Linked DNA regions of Rattus norvegicus. The protein of the gene in region 1 purifies or fractionates together with the protein of each later gene. This does not show direct contact. Links are inferred from orthologs where the notes say so. Each region holds a gene or a part of one and is shown on either strand. Other genes may lie near its edges.

Region 1 (11,881 bases):
TCCATCCATCTATTTGGCCCTTCAACCGTTGTTGAGTGCTCCCTTTGAGTCAGACCATGTTACAGGCACCAGGTACGTGGTGGTCAGTAATACAGCACCTCCCTCAGTGAGCTACAGTCCACATCCGGGCACACACAGATGATGTCATCAACAGCCAACTACAACAGCATCCAAACAAATTCTTTGTTTTGGGGGGGTGGGGTGTTGTTCGTTTTTTGTTTTTCAGGACAAGTTTTCTCTGGTAGCCCTGGCTGTCCTGGAACTCACTGTGTAGACTGAGCTGGCCTGGAACTCAAGGACCCACCTACCTCTGCCTCCCAAGGGCTGGGATTAAAGGCGTGTGCCACTATTGCACCAAACAAATTCTTTGTACCAAGCACCCTACTCCGGTGTTTGAGGACCCACCCATTAGATGTTGTGAGAACAAAGAGAGGTAGGGCTGGGCATGGTGGCCCATGCCTCTGTTCCCAGCTTGTTTCTGGAGAGTAACAAGACCAGAGGGCCACTGCTCCTTAAATCAGAACAGGAGCGTGGCTACAGGTTAGGACAAAGGTAATTTCATCCTGACCAGAATGTTCCTGGTTTGCATTTGCTAGGGAGTCCAAGGGTAAAGACAGATACGATTCTATTATTTTTGTCTGCTTAGGGTTTACAGGACAACCCAGCCAGAGGTTATCCTGATGTTCTGGTCCCAAATGGCTGCTGACATGTGATACCGTGTCCATAAAAGCCTGAACAGCAGGTGCATTTGAACTTTTATTAGAAAGTGTCCTTTCAGGCTGGAGAGATGGCTCGGTGGTTAAGAGCACTGACTGCTCTTCCAGAGGTCCTGAGTTCAATTCCCAGCAACCACATGGTGGCTCACAATTATCTGTAATGGGATCTGATGCCCTCTTCTGCTGTGTCTGAAGACTTTTTTTTTTTTAAGTGTCCTAAAAAAAAATAAAATAAAATAAGAAAAGAGTCCTTTCCGTGTGTGTGTGTGTGTGTGTGTGTGTGTGTGTGTGTGCATGTGCTTGTGTGTAGATGTTCACTTGAATGCAGGTGCATACATACGTGTGCATGCACATGTGTGTGGAGACCAGAGGTCAACTCTGGTGTCATTCCTCAGAATCTATGCACCTTGGGTTAGAGACAGGGTCTCAGACTGCCTTGGGGCTTGTCCACTAGGTTAATGCTGGCTGTTGTCCTGTCTCTGGCTTCATCATTAGGATTAGAAGCACACACCACCACTCCTGCCTTTTTTTTTTTTAAAGATTTATTTATTATGTATGAGTACACTGAAGCTGTCTTCAGACACATCAGAAGAGGGCATCGGATCTCATTCCAGAAGGTTGTGAGCCACCATGTGGTTGCTGGGAATTGAACTCAGGACTTTGGGAAGAGCAGTCACCGCTAAGCCATCTCTCCAGCCCCACTCCTGCCTTTTTATGTGGGTTCTTGGAATCAGACTCAGGCCCTCAAGTTTGCACAGCAAACGCTTTACTGAGAAACATCCCAGTCCCGAGAATTGGTTCTAGTCTCATCTGACTCTGCCAGCTCAAGGAGGGGACAGTACCTTGCAAAGGGTTATTAGCAGTTTGAATTTAAACATGGGGGCCAAAAGACATGCCCAGGCGGCATACACTGCCAACTGTCTTAGCTACTTTCCTATTGCTCTAGGAGACACCATGACTAAGACAACTTATAGAAGGAAGAATTGATTGGGAGCTTAGCTCTCAGAGGGCTGGTTGTCATAATACAGAGTGTGGCAGCAGACAGGCATGGTGCCAGAGCAGGCTTTGGGAAGGATTAGAAGGTGTGGTGTAGGCATACAGTTTCTTGCAACCTACTTTAAATAAGGGTTCGACCTCTCCTTTAGCCCACCACCCAGCAAAGACAGTAAAAGAAAACTTAGTAGGATGTGGGGGAAGTGGACCCGTTCAGCCATAGTTCCTTGGGGTGTTTCCCATAGCAGTTACCAAATAGGACCCAGAGGCTGCAGACCAATCCTCTAGGCAGGTAGACACCAGGCACAAACCAGCAGCAGCTGTATTTCAGTCCTGAAGAAACAGAAAGGCTCGCCAACCGGCCTGAGGTGAGGCGGCTGAAGCAGCAAGCTGCCTCAGGAGCCTCACGAGCGAGTTTCTCAGGATGGCAGCGTTACCATAAGTTGAGCTCAACAACCCCTATGTAGGGCGAGCCAATACATACGTGTCTGTGTGTCGTTAACGAAGGACAGTGAGGCTGAGCAAACCAATCCAAAGTTCAGTGCTCGTCTCCCAGTGTCTGCGGGGTCAAATTTATGCCTCTTAATCATGGATCCTTTCACCGTGTTTGCTGTATCCAAACATCCTCTCACCTGTGTCTGTATCAGCAAAACATTCTTTCACGTGCCTGCTTGAGCGAGACACCCTTCCACCTGTGTGCCCCAGCAAAACATCATTTAACATAACTACCTTTCCAAAGAAACCAGAAGTTTCCACTTCAGTGTGGCCATGTTGGCGGAGGTGTGTGGTGGGACGTGGGCTTTGAGGTTGCAAAAGCTCACATCATTCATTCCCAGTTAGCTTGCTCTCCCCGACCCCCACTCATGGTTGGTGTCTCAAATGCAAGCTCTCAGCTTCTGCCTGCTGCCATGGGGTCACCCTCTGAAAACTGTAAACAAGCCCCCATGTTGATAACCAGCCCTCTGAGAGCTAAGCTCCCGATAAATTTTTTCTTCTATAAGTTGTCTTAGTCGTGGTGTCTCCTAGCGCAATAGGAAAGTATTGAGACATTTGGCAGTATATGCCGCATGGGGCATGTCTCATGCTTTCTTACGATAGTTGACTTGGCATGGTTTTTCTTTGTAGCAATGGAAAAGGAAGATAACCACGCCTCTTCATCCTTCCCAAACAGTCCCACCAACTGGGGACAAGGTATTGGAATTGATGAGTCTATAGGGGCCTTTCTCATTGAAACCGCCACACCAACCCTTGAAGTTTTCTTTCTTTTTTTAAAGATTTATTTCTTATGTATACAGTGTTCTGCCTGCATGTACACCTGCATGCCAGAAGGTGGCGCCAGATACCATTACAGATGGTTGTGAGCCATCTTGTGGGTGCTGGGAATTGAACTCAGGACCTCTGGAAAAGCAGCCAGTGCTCTTAACCCCTGAACTGTCTCTCTAGTCCGAAGTTTTCTTTGAGATGAAAAAAATACAGAAGAAGGAAAAGGTGGGCAGGGAGGGAGTGTGGCGCGTTCCCCCAATGTGTTAGCTCTGTCGCTGTGTTGAGTCCTTGCAGCCATCCCTGAGTAGATATTGGTGGAGTGCGCTGTGGCACTGGGTCTGGTGCTTGCTAGAGAGAAGGTATCATCGAAATTGTCCCTGAACCAAGTAAGGGAAGTGACTTGTTAATGATCTGAGGAGCCAGTATTCATTCAAGTTAGCCTACAGGGGGAGCATCCCTGGAGCAACACCCGATCCCTGCAGGAGAGTGACGCTCCTTCCTTCCATGATGGTATCAGAAAGGATTTAACCAGCAGGGTGAGGGTTTTCCCACAGCTGCACAGGTAGACACCTCTCTCCTAGTCTTTCTTATTTTGTCTTTTTTTTTTTTTTCTTTTTTAACCCGGAGCTGAAGAACCAGGGCCTTGCGCTTGCTAGGCAAGCGCTCTACCACTGAGCTAAATCCCCTCTCCTAGTCTTTCTTAGTCTGAATACTCTGGTGCCCCCTACCCGCTCTGCTCTCCAGTCAAGCCATGTGCAGTTACGGCAGAGCTGCACACGATAAATTGTAGGAAGCCACTGGATACTCAGGTACGGGTCTTCCATGAGGGGATGCAAACGGCCAAAACGTCCTGCTGGGGTAATTCTTTTGTAAGTGGACACAGCTGAACTCCACAAGATGGCGGCTGCTTGGCTCTAAGGGTAGTTAAGTACACCAAGAGGCTGGCCATGAACTGGATAGGTAGTCAAGGGTGACCTTGCCATTCAAGCGGCCATGCTTGACTGCTAAGTTCTGTTCCCAGGAGCCACACATAAAAAAGACCCACTCCTGACAATTGTTTTTTTGGCCTCTACTGTGGATCATGGCACACACAAATTAATTAAAATTAATTTTCTTTTGATTTATTTGAAGTCAGGGTCTCTCTCTATTGCTCTAGTTGTCCTAGAACCCACTCTCTAGGCCTTAAACTCACAGAGATCCACCTGCCTCTGCTTCCCAAGTACTAGAATTGAAGGTGAACCTGGATCAAAGTAAAACTTAAAGAGGAAAATAAGGGCTGGAGAGATGGTTCAGCGGTTAAGAGCACCGACTGCTCTTCCAGAGGTCCTGAGTTCAATTCCCAGCAACCACATGGTGGCTTATAACCATCTTAATGGGAAGTGATGCCCTCTTCTGGTGTGTCTGAAGACAGCTACACTGTACTCAGATATATTTTTTTCTTTTTTCTTTTTCTTTTTTCTTTTTTTCGGAGCTGGGGACCAAACCCAGGGCCTTGCGCTTGCTAGGCAAGCGCTCTACCACTGAGCTAAATCCCCAACCCCTGTAGTCAGATATATTAAATAAATAAATCTTTAAAAAAAAAAAAGAGGAAAATAAAATTGGTCGCCAGGTAAGTGGAGCTCTCTTTTAATCCCAGCACTTGGGATGTAGAAGTGCAGGTGGATCTCTGAGTTTGAGGCTTGCCTGATCTACAGAGCGAGTTCCAGGGCAGCCAAAACTACAGAGAGAAACCCTGTCTCAAAAATAAATACATATAAATAAATAAATAAATAAATAAATAAATAAAAAATTGGTCTGTGATCCTCTCACTGTAGGAGAAAGTGTGTGTGTGTGTGTGTGTGTGTGTATAAAACAGAGATGTCTGTGTGTATATTTATGAATGTGTTATATGTATACATGTATGTGTCTATATGTAACTGTGTGTACTTATGTGTATATGTCTGAATATGTTCTGTGTGTAGATATGTATTATACATGTGTATGATGTGAGTATATATGTATGCGTGTGTATGTGTGCATATCAACTGTGTATTTGTGTATACATATGTGTATATGTGTGAGTGCAAACGTATATGTTTGTATGTAAGTGTGTGAGTGTCCGCGAATGGGAATGTATGTAGATGTATATCTGTATATGTAACTGTGTGTGTGACTGTGTGTGCGTGTTGCTGGTTATGGAACCAAGGGTGCGCTGACCACACCCCAGCCTCAGAAGTGTTTCTGGCTCCGGAACTCGCTGCCCCTTTGCGGCTTGCCCCTTGCGCTGGCAGGATCCGGTCCTGGTGAGGCCTGTGGTAAGTCTAGCTGTAGTGTGCTGCGTCTCTAGTCTTCCTGAAAGCCTAAGACTGCCGGCTCAGGCCCTAACCTGGCTGCAGGCCCGCGACTCCGGTTACCTAGCAACCAGCACCTTAGCAACCGGGAGGAGGCGGGGCTGGGGCCGGAAGCCGGAAGCCGGAAGCCGGAAGCCGGAGGCGAAGACTCGCGAGGGTTGGTTTGCGCGCGGACTCCGAGTCCAGTGGTTCGGTGGCCGGTCCCTGCAGCATCTGTCAGTCATGGCGGCGGCGCCTTCGCAGCAGCAGCCCCGGGCGGCCCGGGCCCGGAACCTGCCCTGGTAGGAGCGGCCCCGCATCCTGCTTCCCTCCCTTCTTCCTAGGAGCTTTGCATGTCCCCCTCCCGCTCCCGGCCGGATACCTAGCCTTTGCGCCGCAAGCCGCCCCTCCGCTTCCAAACCGAACTGTCTGTGATCTTATGCCTGAGTTCAGCTCAGCCATCCTCAAGTGCCTCGAGCATCGCCATTGCGCTCTGATGACCCTAACAGATGGATCCTGGGTTTCTTTAGAATGGTTCAGAGACCGGAGGAGTGGGTAGGCTAGGATTCGAACTCGTGTTCGAATTCAGCGCTTGCATTCTCTCCCTCTTATTTGCGGGGGAAGGGACCGTAGCAGCGCACCTTTGTGGCGGTGAGGATAACTTGCAGGACCCAGTTCTTTCCTTTTACTGGCATGGATTCCCGGGATCCACTCCAAGGCCCCAGAGTTTGCATACTGATAGACCTTACAGCAGTTTAGCGGTGTTTTAAACAAAGCCTGCCCAGCCATGCTTTCTTTTCAGTTTTTCTGGTCTCTACTGAGGAGGAAGAATTGCCTTGGATCACACGTTAAATTCTCAGGAGTGGAGTTACAGACGGTGTGGTCTTTTGAGTGTGACTTCTGGAACTCAGGGTTGTTCTTTTCGGTAGCATGGTTCAGCACTCAGTTCCCGCTTGAAAGCCAAATCCCAAGTGTATTGCCCTTCACTTGCTTGTGGGTATTTGAGTATGAGTCGATGCCTAACTGAAGCTGTGCAGTCTCAGCGCTGTTGTCTTGGGGGCGGGGGCACTGTTGGTGTGGAGCAACAGGGAGCTGTCTTGCCCACTGGAGGATGTTCAGCAACCTCCTGACCTCTCCTCAAAAGAGGCCACTAAGACCCTCTGCAGTTATTACAGCTAACCGGCCTGACAGATGTCTCGTGGTAACTGAACAGCTCTTGGTTGTGAGTGCCACTGACTCTGTTCAGACGTGAAGGGTTTCTCTTCCTCTGCTGCTAGGACGTGAAGGGCTTCTTTGCATGTAACAGAACCCATGACTCTTGGCGTATAAACTGTAACGCATGGTGAATCCTTTTTCAGGGTTGAGAAGTACCGGCCACAGACTCTGGCCGATCTCATATCTCACCAGGACATCCTGAGTACCAGTGAGTACCTGTGTCTGCTGCTGTTGTTGTCCTGGCGGGAGGGTTTGGGTCCATTTCGTGAAGACGCTGTCCCTGCTGGATGACACTTAAGGATGGACTGTGCTTTATAGAATGGGCTGTGTGTTTCCTTCTCCATAGTGCACCAAAATATCTAAGAGGACACATTTTTAAAGATTGGTTTGTTTGTTTTGGTTTTTTTTTTTTTTTTTTTTGGTTCTTTTTTTCGGAGCTGGGGACCGAACCCAGGGCCTTGCGCTTCCTAGGCAAGCGCTCTACCACTGAGCTAAATCCCCAACCCCGATTGGTTTGTTTTTATTGTAAGTGTGTGCTCCATGTGTGCCTGGTTTCTTCAGAGGCCAGGTGAGGGCCCAGGATCCTCTGGAACTGGAGTTGTAGGCTATTGTGAGCTGCCCTGTAGGTGCTAGGAACCAAAACCAGGTCCTCTGCAAGAGCACCCGGCTTAGCTGAGGCACCTTGTCAACTCCCCCATCCCCAAGACGACAACAGAGAGGAGAGATGACTGACTTTGCCTTATGGGTTCAGAGGTTCTGGTCCACCGTGCTTGGCTCTGTTGACTCTAGACCCTTGGTGAGCACAACTTCATGGCAGTGGGGGCATTCTGCTCCATAGTAGACAGGAAGTAGAGAGCTAAGCGGGGGTAGGGGTGAAGGTGGGGAATGGAGGTCAGTATGAACCTCAAACGCATGTGTTTGGTGGCCTGATTCCTCCAATGAGGCTGTGCCTCTAAACCAGTGATTCTCAACCTTCCTAAAGATGTGACCCTTTTAATGCAGTTCCTTGTGTTGTGGTGACTCCCCAACCATAAAATTATTTCATTGCTACTTAATAAATGGAATTCTGCTATTTACTGTTATAAATTGTAAATGTTTGATATGCAGGATATGTGTGTGATATGTAGCTCCTAAAAGGGTCAAGACTCACAGGTTGAGAACCATTGCTCTCAACTTTCTAGACCCTCCTGAGATAGAGAGACAGACAGACAAACCGTGGTCTGACTCCAGGACATTCCCTCCCTGTCTGCTCTGACTGGGTCACTGAAGAACTGAAGCACGTCTGGATGTAGCTTAAACAGGTGCTAAGGTGAGCATGCAGGACCCAGAGACTGACGTGTGTCATTGCTTCTTCCTGTCCTGCAGTTCAGAAGTTCATCAGTGAAGACCGCTTGCCACACCTACTTCTCTATGGCCCTCCAGGCACAGGAAAGACATCCACCATTCTGGCCTGTGCCAAGCAACTGTACAAAGATAAAGAATTCGGCTCCATGGTCTTGGAGGTGAGGAGACACTCTCACTCCACAAAAGCTCAGACCTTCGGACACTCACCTTTGGTCCTTTTTCACTCCCTGACCTGGTTGGGTTTGGCGAGTGGGATCTTGTGTGTGTGTGTGTGTGTGTGTGTGTGTGTTGGGGATGGGAGAGGGTGGTTTGGGGGGTGTCAATCGACACCAGCCCCAGGGGTCAAGACCCACAGGTTGAGAACCACTGCTCTACAAACACCTTTAAAAATGTCTCTTCATCTGGATCTTCTCAGATTACTGCACTGAGACATGCCATCTGTGGATTGTTGGGGCCTTGGCTGACAACTTTAATACCCTTAGGTTACAGAAACCTAATCGTGGTATTTGAAAGAAAAGCATTTGAGGGACTGGGGATGTAAGTCATGCACAAGGTCCTGGGTTTGATCCCAGCATAACAAACAGGTTGTGTACCTATAATCCCAGCACACAGGAGTTGGAGGCAGGAGGGTCAGAAGTTTACGGTCAACTTAGGCTATGTGAGTTCAAGGCCAACTCAAAGACAAAAGACCCTCAATCAAGAGGAAGGCATTTGACTTAGGCAGTAGATCTGAGGCTCAACCCCTTGCTGGCCACTCTTCTTTCTCCAGCTTTTTCAAAGCACAGCAGCCTCCAGGCAGTGAGGGCTTAAATTAGCATCAGTGGCTGGTGGCAGATTTCCTGGTTCAGGGTTTTATTTCCTGTATTTATGTGGATGCTCCTTGGAGGAGGAGGACTGTGCCTTTTAGGATGATGTGTGATGGCACGTGAGGCTGAGTCCAGGGCATTCGTTTTTGATGACTGTATCTTAGCTGTCATTAGATCTGAATGGCTGGATGACACTGGCTGCCACACAGTGTGATTGTGACGGCATCCTCTCTTCCTTGTGCAGCTGAATGCTTCCGACGACCGAGGGATCGATATTGTCCGGGGGCCAATCCTCAGCTTTGCCAGCACAAGGACAATCTTCAAGTGAGAATTATTTGTAGAATTTCTCTCCCCGCAGTTAGTGCAGGGCTGGGACACAGCTTCACTGTTTGGGCCCCCCTTGGCTGGTGTGAAAGGGAAGAAGGGGCGACTTGGTCAGAAGCAGGGACCAGTTCAGTGGCTGGAGAGGTGGAAATGCTTGAAGATTCCAAGAGCCTTTGGCTCCACATGGGTCCTTAGCTGGACAATCACATCCAATGCTGGATGAGCTGGTCTGAACTTAAACAGGGATAAGTGATCAGGAAGTATGACTTACATGGTGGTCAGTTAGGCAAGGAAGAGGGTGATGAGACGGTTCAGTAGGCTAAAGCACTTGCTACCCAGTCTGATGACCCCGAGTTCGATTCCTAGGACCCACATGGGAAAAGGGAGAACTGATTCCCTCAAGTCATCCTATGACCTCCATATTTGTGGTGTGACGTGATACTTACATACTCTCTCTCACACATGCGCACACAGTGCTAAATAGGCTTGGGTGTGTGCATAGCCATGGGATGTTTGTGCATGGCCTACTCACATCCCTGGGTTTCAGTCCTGCCCCACAAGCGAGCAGCTGACACAGGATACGGTGGGTAAGGAAGGCTAACACCTCAGGGTGGAATTAGCTGTCACTTCTAAAGGATGAAAGCGTGATTGGCAAGCGTGAATGCCTCAGCTATCAGCCTACATCGGGATCTGAGAAGGATGGACTTGGGGTAGCCTGAGTGTGAAGATGGAGATTCAGCCTGGTGTGGAAGGAAGCTGAGGACACCTCCACATGCCTTTGTTCTCCTAGGAGAGGGTTTAAGCTTGTGATCCTGGACGAAGCTGACGCCATGACTCAAGATGCCCAGAATGCCTTGAGACGAGGTGAGATTTGCTGCCCCATCTGAACTGAGTGAACTGAGGCCGGGAATTCTGGGTACATGTGACCTTTCCATCAGGAGGCACCATTTAGTCCAGTGATTCAGACAAGACTGCCCTGTAGGTAGGTCCCCTTCAGCACCCTCAAGATGGGTGGCCTCTGTCATTCAGTGGAAATAAGGCTTAAATCCCTTATCCACTGGCAGATCCTCTGTCTTTGGTAAAAGCTAACACCAGGAAAGACTGAGTGCAGGGGTGACCATGGTATGGGGTGAGTCCTGTGTTTTCCTGTGGAGTAGGGCTGGTGCCATCCTGTTGAAGACCCGTTGTGTGCAGCTCCTGCTAACACTGCTGGGAGGGAAGAACAGCTTCAGGAGCCTGGAAAAATGAGACCTGGGAGAGGGGAGCAGGATGTGTTCTGGTTCTAGCGTGTTGGCACCCTTCCTTCAGCATCTTGTTCTGCTGAGTGACTCGGTGTGGGCAGATCTGTGTGGGGACACTGGTCTCTCCGTGCTGCTGGCTCTTGCTCCCTGAATGCTCCTAGACTTTCAGACATGGGCTGCAGGGAAGTGTGCAGAGTCAGCTCAGACAAGGTGGGTCTCAACAACCTCAGACAGCATCTTGTACAGAGGGATGGGAGCTCTTGGACGGGGGGCCAGATCTTGAGGAAGAGTGCTAGAATTGTGGAGGTGATAAAAAGGTGCATTTGTGCGCTCTGATGGTGCGTGTCCTAGCTGTGCAAGTTGGGCGTGCTGACTCACACTGGACCGAGTCCACGCACTCCAGAGATGGGGGCAGGTGGGTCACCTGGAGTCTGAGCCCAGCGTGAGCTCCATATACACTGAGAGCTACACAGGATGGGGGCTGAGCTGAACTGTTGCTCATGTCCCATAATACCCTCTACCCCCACAGGCCACGTTCTCACTCTCAGTATCCTTAAGCTTCCCTGGGTCCTCTTATGTGAAGTGTTTGGTTTCTCTCCCAGTGATTGAGAAGTTCACTGAAAACACCAGGTTTTGCCTCATCTGTAACTACCTGTCCAAGATCATCCCTGCCTTGCAGTCACGGTGCACGAGGTTCCGATTTGGCCCTCTGACGCCTGAGCTCATGGTTCCTCGGCTAGAACATGTGGTACAAGAAGAGAAGTGAGTTTGTTTTAGAAGAAGGAAGAGGGGAGGTGTGGGGATTTGAGTGGCAGGGAGGTTGGGCAGAGTGGCTAATCGGAGGGAGTGTTGGCTACTGCCATCTCCTGTGGGCCCTGGATAGTCTGTCTCCTGAACCCTTGGTTCCACACCTACATTCCTGCAGGCTGTTCCCTCTGTTTTGTCTTGGGAACTGACTGTTGCTGAGTCCCTTTTTGCAGATGCTGCCAGCTGGCTGGAAGGGAAGGCTCTGCTCTGAGATCCACTCTGGGCCGTCAGATACCGAGCAGTGGCCTCTTCCCAGAAATGTCTCTTTCAGCAGCCACCTCCTTAAAGCCTTGGTCCATAGTAAAGCTCTGGCTGGATCCAGCTACTCATGTGACACACGTCCCTAAGCACTGCAGTAACTCAGATGTTCAGGAGAGTCCTGTCACCTCCGTTTTGATGTTTTCCTTCTTTTAAAGCTTCGTCACTCAAGGATCATACGGTTGATGAAATTTTGCTCTTTGCAGACAGCTTCAGTTAACTCTTACCCATTTCCTTTTAGCGTGGACATAAGTGAAGATGGAATGAAGGCCCTTGTCACTCTGTCCAGTGGGGACATGCGAAGGGCTTTGAACATTCTGCAGGTATGATCAGTCACACTGCAGGTTCTTCAAACCATTGCTTCAAAATAGTTTTCTAAGAAAGACAGCCAGCTGATCCACACATTCATTCAGAAACCTATTAAGATTCTCCTTGTCGTGCACCAGCTCTGCCTGTGCGCTCTAATGGGAAGTCCCGGTGCTGCTCTAAGCTATGGGAGGACGCTGCAGCTCTACTGCATGGGGCAGCATTCACAGTGGAGGGCAGCCCTCCCCACTGTCCTGGGCCTGTGTCATGTCACTGGCAGGACAGCTGCTGACAGTCCC
Region 2 (11,882 bases), on another chromosome or scaffold:
TTGAAGAATATTAAAACTTGTCCCCAATCGCTGTAACATTAGGCAAGGCCAGTGCGCCAGAACTCCTCGTCTACTGGTCAGTTTACCTAAGGAGTAACACTCAGCTGGCTGTGCTGGTGCTTGTCTTTAATTCCAGCACCCTGACCGCAAAGGCATGGGATCAATTTGAGTTGGACAGAGAGTTCCAGGACAGCCAGAGGTACACAGAGACACCCTGCTTCAAAACAGTAATAAAAAATGTTAGGATTTATTTTTAATATCATATTTGATGAATTCATACCTGAGGACTATTTCTCCAAGGATTATCAATTATGACAAATAAGAGTTTAGAATTCAACTGAAATCTATCTGCAAATCTTCTGAAATGGACTTTAAATTAGCTATATTGTGGTGATACACACCAGGAATCCCAGCACTTGGAAGAGGATTTGAGTCCTAGACTAATTTTGTATATAGCAAGAACATGTCTGAATAGACATTAAAGTTGTGTGCAATGACTCACACAAGATATCCCAGCACTCAGGAAGCTGGAGCAGAACGATTGCTATAAGTTTGAAAACATTCTATGCTACATAGTGAGTTCTAGGCCAGCCTGGGCTACAGAGTACAACCCTATCTCAAAACAAAAGCCAGGTTTGGTAGCTCAGGTCTGTCATCCCAGCTACTTGGGAAGAGTACAGAGAGGGATAATGTGTTTAAGGTCTGGTGGAAAATCAGAACCACTCTCAGTAACCTATGAACTTTGCCTCAAAATGAAAAGAGGATATGGATGTGGTTCAGTGATAGACCATTTGCCTAACCTATGAGAGCCAATCCTCAGAGCTGTATACACATAAAAAATTATTTACAAATAAATTGTATTCTAGAAAATAAATGAACTCTGCAGTGCTTGAAGAATTTTCCTTCCCAATTAATAATACATGTAGAATGCTCCAACTTGAGAAAACAAAATTTTACCTAATGGGGCTCTCGGAATCAGAGGATATTATTATTAATTCTGCTGTATACAGGCTGGGCTTTTCTGATATTCTGGCTGCTTTTGGAGTGGAAGCCTTCACTGGATCAGTGTCCTGGGCATCCTCAGACTCAGTACCTCCCAGGGTGACCGTGGTAGGTGTACTGCTACCTCTCAGAGATCTCCTGGTTGGTTTGGGTGTGGAGACATTCACCAGCCCGCTTCCAGGCTCAGCTTTGCCGTGTGTGACCATATCCCTGGTTGGTGTGCTGCCTCTTCTTGATTTATTTCTGTCACACAGAGACGGTTTTACAGAGTCACGTGCCGTATCCTCAGAAACAAGATTTTCACTGTTGAGTAATGCACTGCTTTTGAAAACTTCTGATTTCTGTCTTACACTCCTCCGTAGGGTATTTTGATCTTGATTATCTTTTAAGGAAAAGGCTGTTTTTTCCTTTTGCATGTTTTCTTCTCTGTTTCCAGCTGCGGTGGTCCGAGTTTTCTTACCCTTTTTATTTGGCCTTTTACTTTTCTCCTTAGGAAAACCTCCTCTATCAGCGTGTGCCTGTGAACAGTCTTGATTTGAAACTCTTTGAATATTAGGATTTTCTATGATTTTTTCAGAATTGCTATCTCCTTCATTGACAGATTTTTCACTTGGATCTTTCTGCTTCTCCAAAGGTTTCTTGAGTCCATTTCTGAGCGTTTCCGACGGTGGCTGCCTGAATGCTCTCATGAACTGCTGTCTTTCTTCCATGCTGCACTTTGGTACTGAAGCCTCAGAGCTCCAAGCTTCCAGCACAGCCAGTTCCAATTGGCCCTCCTGGACCACAACATTAGATTTCCTTTTCTGAACTGTCTGCTCATTTTCTGGATCAGAGAAACTATTCTCCAGCTCAAGCTGTTTCTGTTTCAAGAAGATTGGGGGTATTTTCCTTTTCTTTTTAGGGGGAGTAGGATGAACTTGTGCAAGAACAGTAACTGTCTTAAGGTGTAGGTGTGGAGATGGTTCACAGCTTTCTGGTTCACCTTCAGAACCACTTTTGATAGCCTCGCTGGGCCCCGAAGGAACGCAGGCTGGTCCTGCCAGGTCAGGTATGTCTTCCACTTTAGCTGTCTTGTGACTTTTTAAAAATTCCTCATAGGAAACAGTAATTGTGCTCTCGTTTAAATCAGCTATTTTAGTCGCATGAGCCCTGGAGTCTACATGATGTGCAGTCCTGTTTTCATCAGTTAGGGAAGCTTTAGTCAGCCTGCTGTCTTTGCCACCTTCCCCTGGCAGACTTATTTCATCTGCTACGAGTACACTTTCAGACTGGTCCGTCCCCTGGCTATGCTTCCTTTTCCTCAATGTCTTTCCATCATTTTTTGTGGTGCCTTGTTTAGGATTTACTTTCTTAGAGTTTTTTTTGGAGGTCATAGTATTTGACTGGTTTCTGCTGTCTTCTTGAATACTTTCTGCAAGAGCTTCCACATGTTTCTTGTAAAGGAAAACAGAAGTACTGTTTTCCACAAAATCACTTAAACCACAGTCCTCCTTACTATCATCATTACTAATTTCAACTGGAGACTCATTCTCAATTTTGACATCATTCAGTTGATGGGATAAACTAACTCTCTTTCTTTTCTTCTTAGATTCTCTATTTGAGAACACTTCCAATGGTATCTTACAGTCTTTGCTGTTGCCAACAAGCAATGGGGGAGATGGCTTTAACTTGCACTCCTTTGTAGATTGTAGCTTCTCAGTTGTGGGTGAGGTCTTTCTAAAATAATGTAGAATATTATTGGGTTTCGATGGAGAGAAAACCTTGTCTTCAGTCTTCCCTATTGGTGATAAATATTTGGTAATTGTTTCGCAGGAAGAGCTGTCATCATCTTTTCTCCGCTTTCTGCATGGCTAGCAATTTAAGGGGGAAAAAGCCACAATTTATTTCAAGTAAAACAATATGAAATATGAGCTGTAAACACAGATTTAACAGTTTAAACTGGGTAGAAAAACTACAGAAGGCTACGTTGTGTATACATGTGAGGTGTGTGTGATACACTCCAGCATACATGTATGTGAGGATGCATGCAGAGGCTGGCAGAGAATGTCAGGTATCCTGTAATGTCACTTCAGCCTTATTCCCTTAAGACAAGTCCCTAATTACACCTGGAGCTAGGCTGGTGGCCAGCAGGTCTCAGCAACCCTCCTGGTTTTGCTTCCCCACAATCCCAGGGATAAAAGCCATACCTGACCTTTGCTAGGGATTTTAACTCAGGTCATTAAACTTGTACATGAAGTATTCTTGCCCACTAAGCTATCTCCTAGCAGAGAGGGCTACTTTTACAGATGTCTAGGAATTCGAGGCCAGCCTGGTCTACATAGCAAGCTCTAGGCCAGTAAATATAGTGAGTCTCTGGCTTTAAAAAAAAAAAGGGGGGGGGTTGGGGATTTAGCTCAGCGGTAGAGCGCTTGCCTAGCAAGCACAAGGCCCTGGGTTCGGTCCCCAGCTCCGAAAAAAAGAAAAAAAAAAAAAGCTTATATTCGAACAAAGCTAAACTCACAAGAAAACATAAATTCCTACTGTCTTCTATTTTATTTTACTTTATTTATTTCATTTATTTCTATACTTTTGAGACAGAACCCTTCTATGTATATCTGGCTGTCCTGAAATTCACTATATAGACCAGGCTGTCCTCAAACTTGGAGATCTGCCTCCCAAATGGTGAGACTAAAGGTTTACCTGTATTCACAACCTTAAAAGTGCACCATATACCTCACAGACGCCATAATACATAAAAGTATGTGGAAGCTAATGCAAGGTAGGGAACCTACCAACAACCCCTTCTGCTTTACTTTTTTGGTTAAAAATATACATATCATTCTAAGTATCTCTAAGAAATAGTAATTTACTTAAGAAGCCCTGGATGCTAAAATATTATTCTACTAGAACTCATGGTAAAAAGATAATCAAAGAACATTTGCCACGAGTCTACCATTTTAATTTTTACCATAATCCACTGCCTACCTCCTGCACTAGCCATCACCCTCACAGAATCAAGGTGGTTATGACACTAAGGATAGTCATGTTTATGTTAATCACTTTCAGTCAGCAATGATACTTGCACTCAGTCATGTTAAGCAGAGATTATCATGAGCCCAAGTATAGCTGATGATACTCAGCAAGACACTGGCTGCTAGGAGAGAGCATAAGGCTCAAAATAGGAAATCATGAACCCCAGGAGATACTATCAAAAACAAACGTCCTCTTCATCGTAGTAACTAAGGTTGGGGAGAATAACTGCCTAGGCATGTACACAACCCCAGATTTGATGCCCACCAGGCATGGTGGACACCTGCAGTCCCAGCACTGAGGAGATAGCCTTAGGAGGATCAGAAGGTCAAGGTGAACTTAGTGAGTTTGAGGCCGGGCTACATGATATACTATTTGGGGGAAAATGAAGAAAGCCCCAAAACCCTCATGTCATAATATGGATCAACACATACATTCAATGCTGTTCTCTGTGGCTCTAGAGCAAAACTGGTGAATACTGAATCTGACTAGGGCTCATCGAGCTGCTGGTTCACTAACAACAGTGATCCCATTTTTTTTTTCTTTTTTCTTTTTTCTTCAGAGCTGGGGACCGAACCCAGGGCCTTGCGCTTGCTACCACTGAGCTAAATCCCCAACCCCTCCCATTTTTGATTGTACATGTATCTTACAAAGGTTTAATGGGTTTACAGGTGATATGAATTGTGAAACATGTGGGGTAGCACAGGGAAAATTAACTTGCCTTATTTCCTGTGGTCTACATTTGTTTTCTTGACTATGTGTAAATGGTATGAATCAGCCTTGCTACTACACTAAGAAAATATCTTACTGTTCTGAATTTACCAGATTAGAATTTCTAAGCCGGTTCTTAGAAGGACATTATTTCTCATTTCATTTCTATGTGTACTGTAGGCTTAAGTATAAACAAAGGCGGGCATGGTGACTCATTTCTATAGTCCTGGTACCCTGGAAGGTGAGGCAGGAGGACTACAATGAACCTAGGTTGTACTCCTGGATTACAGGATGAGAGCTCAAACAAGTCTAAATAATATACTTATAAAGACCTGTAAACCTGGTCTAGAAATTCACTAAATTAAGCAAATATGTTGTGGTGGTGGTTCGAATAAGAATGGCTCCCATAGGCTCATATATTGAATTATTGGTTTTTGGGGTTTTTGTTGTTGTTGTTTTGTTCTTTGAGACAGTTTCTCTGTGTAGCCCCAGCTGTCCTGGAACTCTCCGTAGACCAGGTTGGCCTCAAATTAAGAGATTCACTGGCCTTCTCATCCCACAAGTTGTCCTCTGATCTTCATACATATGCTGACCCCTGCACACACAATAAATTAAATGTAACAAAATAATTTTATGGGGTAAAAAGAATTTGTAAGGGGTAAAAATAACACTCAAAATAACGGGCAGGGGTAAGAAAGGATAGTGGGACAAACAGACCATTTAGACAAATGAGGTTAAAATTAAATATGTTGAAATAATAAGTGAATTAAAATGAATTATTATCATCTATAAAGCTTTGAGACGGTATCAGAGGCACCACACGACAGACACTCATGTAGGATCTAAGTTCAAGTACCAGCCGACATCTACTGGTATGGAAATCTTAAGCAAATTACTTTTTTAAAAAAATATATACTCAAGTTAATAAAGATTATATATATGTATATATACATATATACACATATGTATACACACATATATATGTATACATATAAGATATACATATATATATATCTTGATCAACTAGGTGTGAATGATGCATGCCTGTGATCCCAGAACAAGCAAGCTAAGGTAGGTAGATGATGAATTTGAGATCAGCCTGGCCGTGCTACACAGTAAATAATGTAAGTATTCTGTAGTTGAAAAAAGTTACTTGATTATAAAAATTATCAGAATCTGAGCTGGAGAGATGGCTCAGAGGTTAAGAGCACTGACTGCTCTTCCAGAGGTCCTGGGTTCAATTCCTAGCAACCACATGGTGGCTCACAACCATCTGTAATGAGATCTGTTGCCCTCTTCTGGTGTGTCTGAAGACGGCTACAGTGTACTCATATAAATAAACGAATCTTTAAAAGTCAGAATGTAAGTGAATACACATCTTAACTCACTTTAAGGGCACCAGAACACATCAAATGCTAGCCCGAGCTATAGTGTATAAACCATAGCAGCTATGAAGAGGCACAAGCCTGTAATGGTGACAGGAGAAAAAGTAGGTCAGGGATGTACTTTAAGATCCTAAAAATTACTTCTAAATGGCATAGAATATCGTTATGGTTGCTTAGTGTGTTTTTCTTTCTTTCTCAGAATCCCAGGGCTTCCTACCTTAAGCACTGTCCTAGTTTTGAGTATTCTCTAAAACGTGGTAAATACTGAACACCTAACATGCCACAGAGACTCTTAACCACATTACATTAAGTTCTGCAGTCACAAGAAACTGTCATAAGTTTCTTACTTGATTCCATTAAGTGACATTCTAAATGGAATTCCTAGGACAGGTATATTTATATTTGTAGGGAATAGCTGAACTTAAAGCTTCATCTTTTTCGCCGTTCTGTAACCCGACATCATCACGAACAAAGAAAGTGGCCCTGAAATCCTTGGTGACATGCTATTCCAAACGAACGTTTCAGGACCTGGGAACTGTGATTTTTCAAATTCTGACTTAACAGCGAGCCCGAAAATATCTTAAAATTCCAACGCTTTTGAAAGAGCTTTAAAAGTCACACCGAGGCAACTATCCCACATACAATTTTAACTGTAGGTCATCGTGTTCCTCCTTTCTCGTCCCAGAAGCAAGGACTCCCGCCAGCCCCATACCACAATTCCCAAACACGGGCAGAAAGGAACTTGACAGATACCTCAATCTCGCAGTCCTTAACAGGAGGGGGTGCTGCAGCCGCCGCCATGGTCAGGACCCCCACCATGATCCCTGCCACCTAGAACCCGAGCTCCTAGGACCTCCAGCGGTCCGGCTCAACCTGGCTGGAGGCCATAGGGGCGGCAAGTCCAGTGGGAGCTGGCTGCGAACCGCGGAGCCCGTTTCGGGTCTCTTAGAGACCACCGGCCGGAGCCGAGTGTGAGGTTGGGCCCAGGGTGGTCGAGCCAGGCTCAGACAGAGATGTCGGGAAAGCCCGGGCACAGGCCCCAAGGAGGCGGCCGGACAATACACAATGCCTCCCCAGCCTGATGCTCCAGGCTAAGAGCTCGAGCCCCAGGCCGCACTGGAAGCCGCACACCGAACGCAGGTCAAACAGTGGGGCTTCGGCGGGAGTTCTTGTCAATTGGGTTTTCGCGCCGTCCGGCACGCAAGGGGCGGAGCCTACGACCGCTATTGGAGGCTGCGCAGACGGTGAGCCGCGAAGGCCAAACTACTTCTTTTGGCGAATCTGCGCGCTATAGCACCAGTTCTAGCTTAGAAATCTAGTTGAATTTTAGGGATTCGCATTTCGATGTTACAGTTTGACAATTGAAAACGTGTTTTGTCTAAGGTTACCTAATCATTTGGTGGCCCAACTAAAACTTAGACTTTAGCCATTCTTAAATTATGTTTTTGAAGCCAGGAAGTGTTTGTGAATTGGGGATGAAGAAGCATATATCTCTAAGTTTGAGGCCAGCCTACACAGAAAGTTCCACTTCAGCCAAGAGACTCTGTCTTATAGATAGATGATTAGATAGATAGATAGATAGATAGATAGATAGATAGATAGATAGATGGATGGATGGATGGATGGATGGATGGATGGATAGATAGATAGATAGATAGATAGATAGATAGATAGATAGATAGAAGTTAAAAAGAGGGGTTGGGGATTTAGCTCAGTGGTGGAACGCTTGCCTAGCAAGCTCAAGGCCCTGGGTTCGGGCCTCAGCTCCGGAAAAAAAAAAAAAGAAGAAGTTAAAAAGAGCTAGAGGAGCCAGGCAACAGTGGCACATTCACTCCATTAATTCCAGCACTCTGGAGTTACCAGAGGAGACAGGCAGATCTCGGAGTTCGAGACTAGCCTGGTATACAGAGAGAATTCCAGGGCAGTCAGGGCTACACAGAAAAACCCTATCTAGAAAAACCTAAAAAAGGATAAAAAGAGGTAGTCGAAAAACACCTCATGCTGACCTCTATACACTGCATGTATGTACACCTTCACTAACACACAGGAACATATTATACATATCACATACACAAATACATTTTTTGTGGGTTTGTTGTTTTGTTGTTGTTGTTGTTTCGAGACAGGGTTCCTCTATGTAGTCCTGGAACTCACACTATATTAATATTTTTTAATTTTTGAAAATATTTATTTCATTTTATGCGAATGAGTGTTTTGCCTACATGTATGTGTATATATACCATGTGTGTGCCGATAATTGTGGAGAAGACATTGAATTCCCTGGAGTTCCAGGCAGTTATGAGCTACCATTGTAGGTGTTGGAAAACAAACCGAGGTCTTCTGCAAGAGCAACAAGGCCCTTTAGAGCTGAGTCATCTCTCAGCCCTCAGATGTGGAAGACATGTGCTGTACTACTGAGCTATATTCCCAGCCCACAATTTAGCCATTATAAACAGTACTTGTAAAAGCCTGCTACAGTGGTTAAAGACTTAAGTGCTCCATAACACCATCTATGATAGTACCTTTCCTTTTACCAGATAGGCTAATAAACACGCTACGGCATAACCATACAATGGATCCTTCTCAAGAATAAAAAGAAATGAGGGACAAGGAGGTAGAGTACCTACTGTTGATGAGGGGATGGAATCAATCCTGAGCACTCCCAAAAAGTAAAACTAAATAAAAAGCCAAGCATGGGGCAGGGGGTTACAGAGATGGCTGAGCAGTTAAGAGCTCTGGCTCCTTTTAGAGGACCCAGGTTCTTTTAGCAGCACCCACATGGTGGCACACAATTGTCCACATCTCCAGCTCTGAGAGATCCATCACTTTCTTCTGGTCTCTGTGGCACCAGGCAAACACACAGCGAAGAGACATATATGCAGCTAAAACATTCACCTATATAAGATAAAAACAAATAATCTTTAAAAACAAAAACAGAGACGGGAGAGATGGCTCAGCGGTTAAGAGCCCTGGCTACTCTTCCAGAGGTCCTGAGTTCAAATCCCAGCAACCACATGGTGGCTCACAACCATCTGTAATGGAATCTGAAGCCCTCTTCTGTTGTGTCTGAAGACAGAACACTCATGTACATAAACAAACAAATATATTAAAACAAAATAAAGGAAAACAAACAAAAGCCAAGAAACAAGTAAGGGGCTCCCGGAGAGATGACTCAGCCAGTGGATAAGAGTGCACACTGCGGGGTTTGGGATTTAGCTCAGTGGTAAAGCGCTTGCCTAGCAAGCACAAGGCCCTGGGTTCGGTCCCCAGCTCCAAAAAAAAAAAGAAAAAAGAAAAAAGAAAAGAAAAAAAGAAAAGAAAAGAAAAGGAGTAAAAGAGTGCACACTGCTCCTGCAGACAACCTAAGTTTGGTTGCCAGCACCTAAGTCAGGTAGCTTAAAACAACCCTTAATTCCAGCTCCGGGAGATCTGGTGCCCGGTTCTGAATTTCACAGGTATTCACACACACACACACACACACACACACACACACACACACACACACACACACACACACAACTATACACATAATTTAAAGAGAAATAAAGGGCTAGAGAGATGGCTCAGTGGTTAAGCGCTCCGACTGCTCTTCCAGAGGTCCTGAGTTCAATTCCCAGCAACCACGTGGTGGCTCACAACCATCTGTAATGGGATCTGATGCCCTCTTCTGGTGTGTCTGAAGACAGCTACAGCGTACTTACATATAATAAATAAAATAAATTTTAAAAAAAGAAAAAAAGAGAAATAAGAATAAGAGCAAATAAGTAAACTGTCACTGTTGTGGAGAAGCGTCACAGTGGCTCAGAGAGCTTGAGGCACAATCATGAAAACTGGAGTTTCCATCCTGGCACCTATGGAACGACCTGGGCATTGTGTGTATGGCTGGAATGCCAACTCTGAGACCAGCAGAGACAGGAGGACAATGGTGCCTGGCCTCCAGCCTAACTGAGAAACCCTGAGTCCAGGCAGGTTCATGGCTACTCACAACCATGGGTAACTCCAGGCCTAAGAGTTCTGATGCTCTTTTCTGACTTCCATAGGCACTGCATGAGTGGGGTGCGCAAACGTGCATGCAGGAAAAAGATGCCTATATGCCTATATATATACATATATATACATATATATATGTGTATATACACACACACACACACACACACACACACACACATATATAAACACATTTGTCTGGAGTTAACTGGATATACTGGCATACACCTGTAATCATAGCACTTAGGAAGTAGAGATGAAAGTTCAGAAGTTCAAGATTATTCTTCACTGCACAGTATGTTTAAAGCTAGCCTGGGCTACTTGAAACCCTATCTCAAAACAAAAACACAAGCAAAACACAAACAAAACATTATATCTGGGCTCTTCTAACCTGAATTCCTCAGGCATCTTCAGATGGTAGTTAGCCCAGTGGTTCCTCGCTGCAGATTAAGCTGCAGCTTCCTTCTGTTGACACGGGCACTTACACCTCTTTCATCTACCTCCCAATTTCCAACCATTTCCAGGCCCCGCTGGTAGTCTTTTGTGCCCCTTCATTTGCCAGTGTTTCTCCTGTTCCTTATTCTAACATTAAGTTACTTTACTATTATTTAACAGATTTTTGGAAAGAAAAGAAGAAAAAGACAGACAGCCAACCCCAAAAGGAGCACAAGATCTAGCTTTGGGGTTACTTTCTCTAAGGAAACCTCTGTACGTCTACTTTGCCTTGGTCAAAATCCTGTGGTTTAAATTTAAGGTTTCTGAGCTTCCATTGTACCTGATGCATTAGGTTACACATTTCCACTTAGGTATGTGCTGTCACGGCTGGACTGTGAAAGCAAGCAGAGGGCCCTTACTGTTTTTGTTCCCAGTTGCTTTTTTAAAATTTATTTATTTATTTATTATATATGAATACACCGTAGCTGTCTTCAAACATACCAGAAGAGGACATAAGATCTCATTACAGATGGTTGTAGTTGCTGGGAATTGAACTCAGGACTTCTGGAAGAGCTCTCAGTGCCCTTAACCACTGAGCCATCTCTCCAGCCCCCCAGTTGCTCTTTAAATATTCTGTATATGAGTGTGTGCTGTGTGTGCTTTTGCACAGCCATATAATCCAGCCTTTACAAGTAAGCACCTTGATATTTTCTTTCCTGATGATCAGTTTAAAGGAGAAGCTAAAGCTTAGAGATGTTTACTTTCAGTGGTTGGCTTTCTGTTTGTTTTTGGTTTTTTTGTGGCAAGGTCTTTGTAGCCCTGGCTGTCCTGAAAGTTGCTCTGTAGATCAGTATACATCCCCCTGCCTCTGACTCCTGAGTGTGGGAATTAAAGGTGTGTGCCACCATGACCAGCTATTTAAATTCTTTTTTTTTTCTTTTCTTTTTTTTTTTTTTTGGGGGGGGGGGAGCTGGGGACCGAACCCAGGGCCTTGAGCTTGCTAGGCAAGCGTTCTACCACTGAGCTAAATCCCCAACCCCTATTTAAATTCTTTAAAAGACTTTTTTTGTTACAATTCTTTTGGGGGGGTGGGTGCTCAAAACAGGGTTTCTCCAGGTAGCCCTGGCTGTCCTGGAACTCACTCTGTAGGCCAGGCTGGCCTCGAACTCACGGAGATCCACTTACTTCCTGAATGCGGCGATGAAAGGCATGCACCACCATCAATCAGGCTGTTATTCTTAATTATGTGTGGGAGTGTGTGTCTGTGTGTGATATATGCAAATGTCTGAGAAGGTCAGGGGCATCAGATTCCTCTGCCAGTAACAAGGGGGTTGGGAGCCACCCTACATGGGC

What was found.
Region 2: the proteins of Rfc5 (region 1) and Atad5 purify together in Homo sapiens (affinity purification with mass spectrometry; 4 studies listed by BioGRID and IntAct, counting the BioPlex papers as one, with this or other methods). This does not show direct contact. The link is inferred for Rattus norvegicus from reciprocal best matches to the Homo sapiens genes RFC5 and ATAD5.

Annotation. Positions count from the first base shown.
Region 1 is NC_086030.1:44,862,879-44,874,759, forward strand, and holds the start of Rfc5 (replication factor C subunit 5), read left to right. Parts: upstream 1-5,443; 5' UTR 5,444-5,524; coding exon 5,525-5,583; intron 5,584-6,639; coding exon 6,640-6,704; intron 6,705-7,861; coding exon 7,862-7,998; intron 7,999-8,890; coding exon 8,891-8,970; intron 8,971-9,760; coding exon 9,761-9,834; intron 9,835-10,813; coding exon 10,814-10,973; intron 10,974-11,517; coding exon 11,518-11,599; intron 11,600-11,881. UniProt on the Homo sapiens protein: Subunit of the replication factor C (RFC) complex which acts during elongation of primed DNA templates by DNA polymerases delta and epsilon, and is necessary for ATP-dependent loading of proliferating cell nuclear antigen (PCNA) onto primed DNA.
Region 2 is NC_086028.1:65,564,018-65,575,899, reverse strand, and holds the start of Atad5 (ATPase family AAA domain-containing protein 5), read right to left. Parts: upstream 7,331-11,882; 5' UTR 6,927-7,330; coding exon 6,861-6,926; intron 2,853-6,860; coding exon 958-2,852; intron 1-957. UniProt on the Homo sapiens protein: Has an important role in DNA replication and in maintaining genome integrity during replication stress.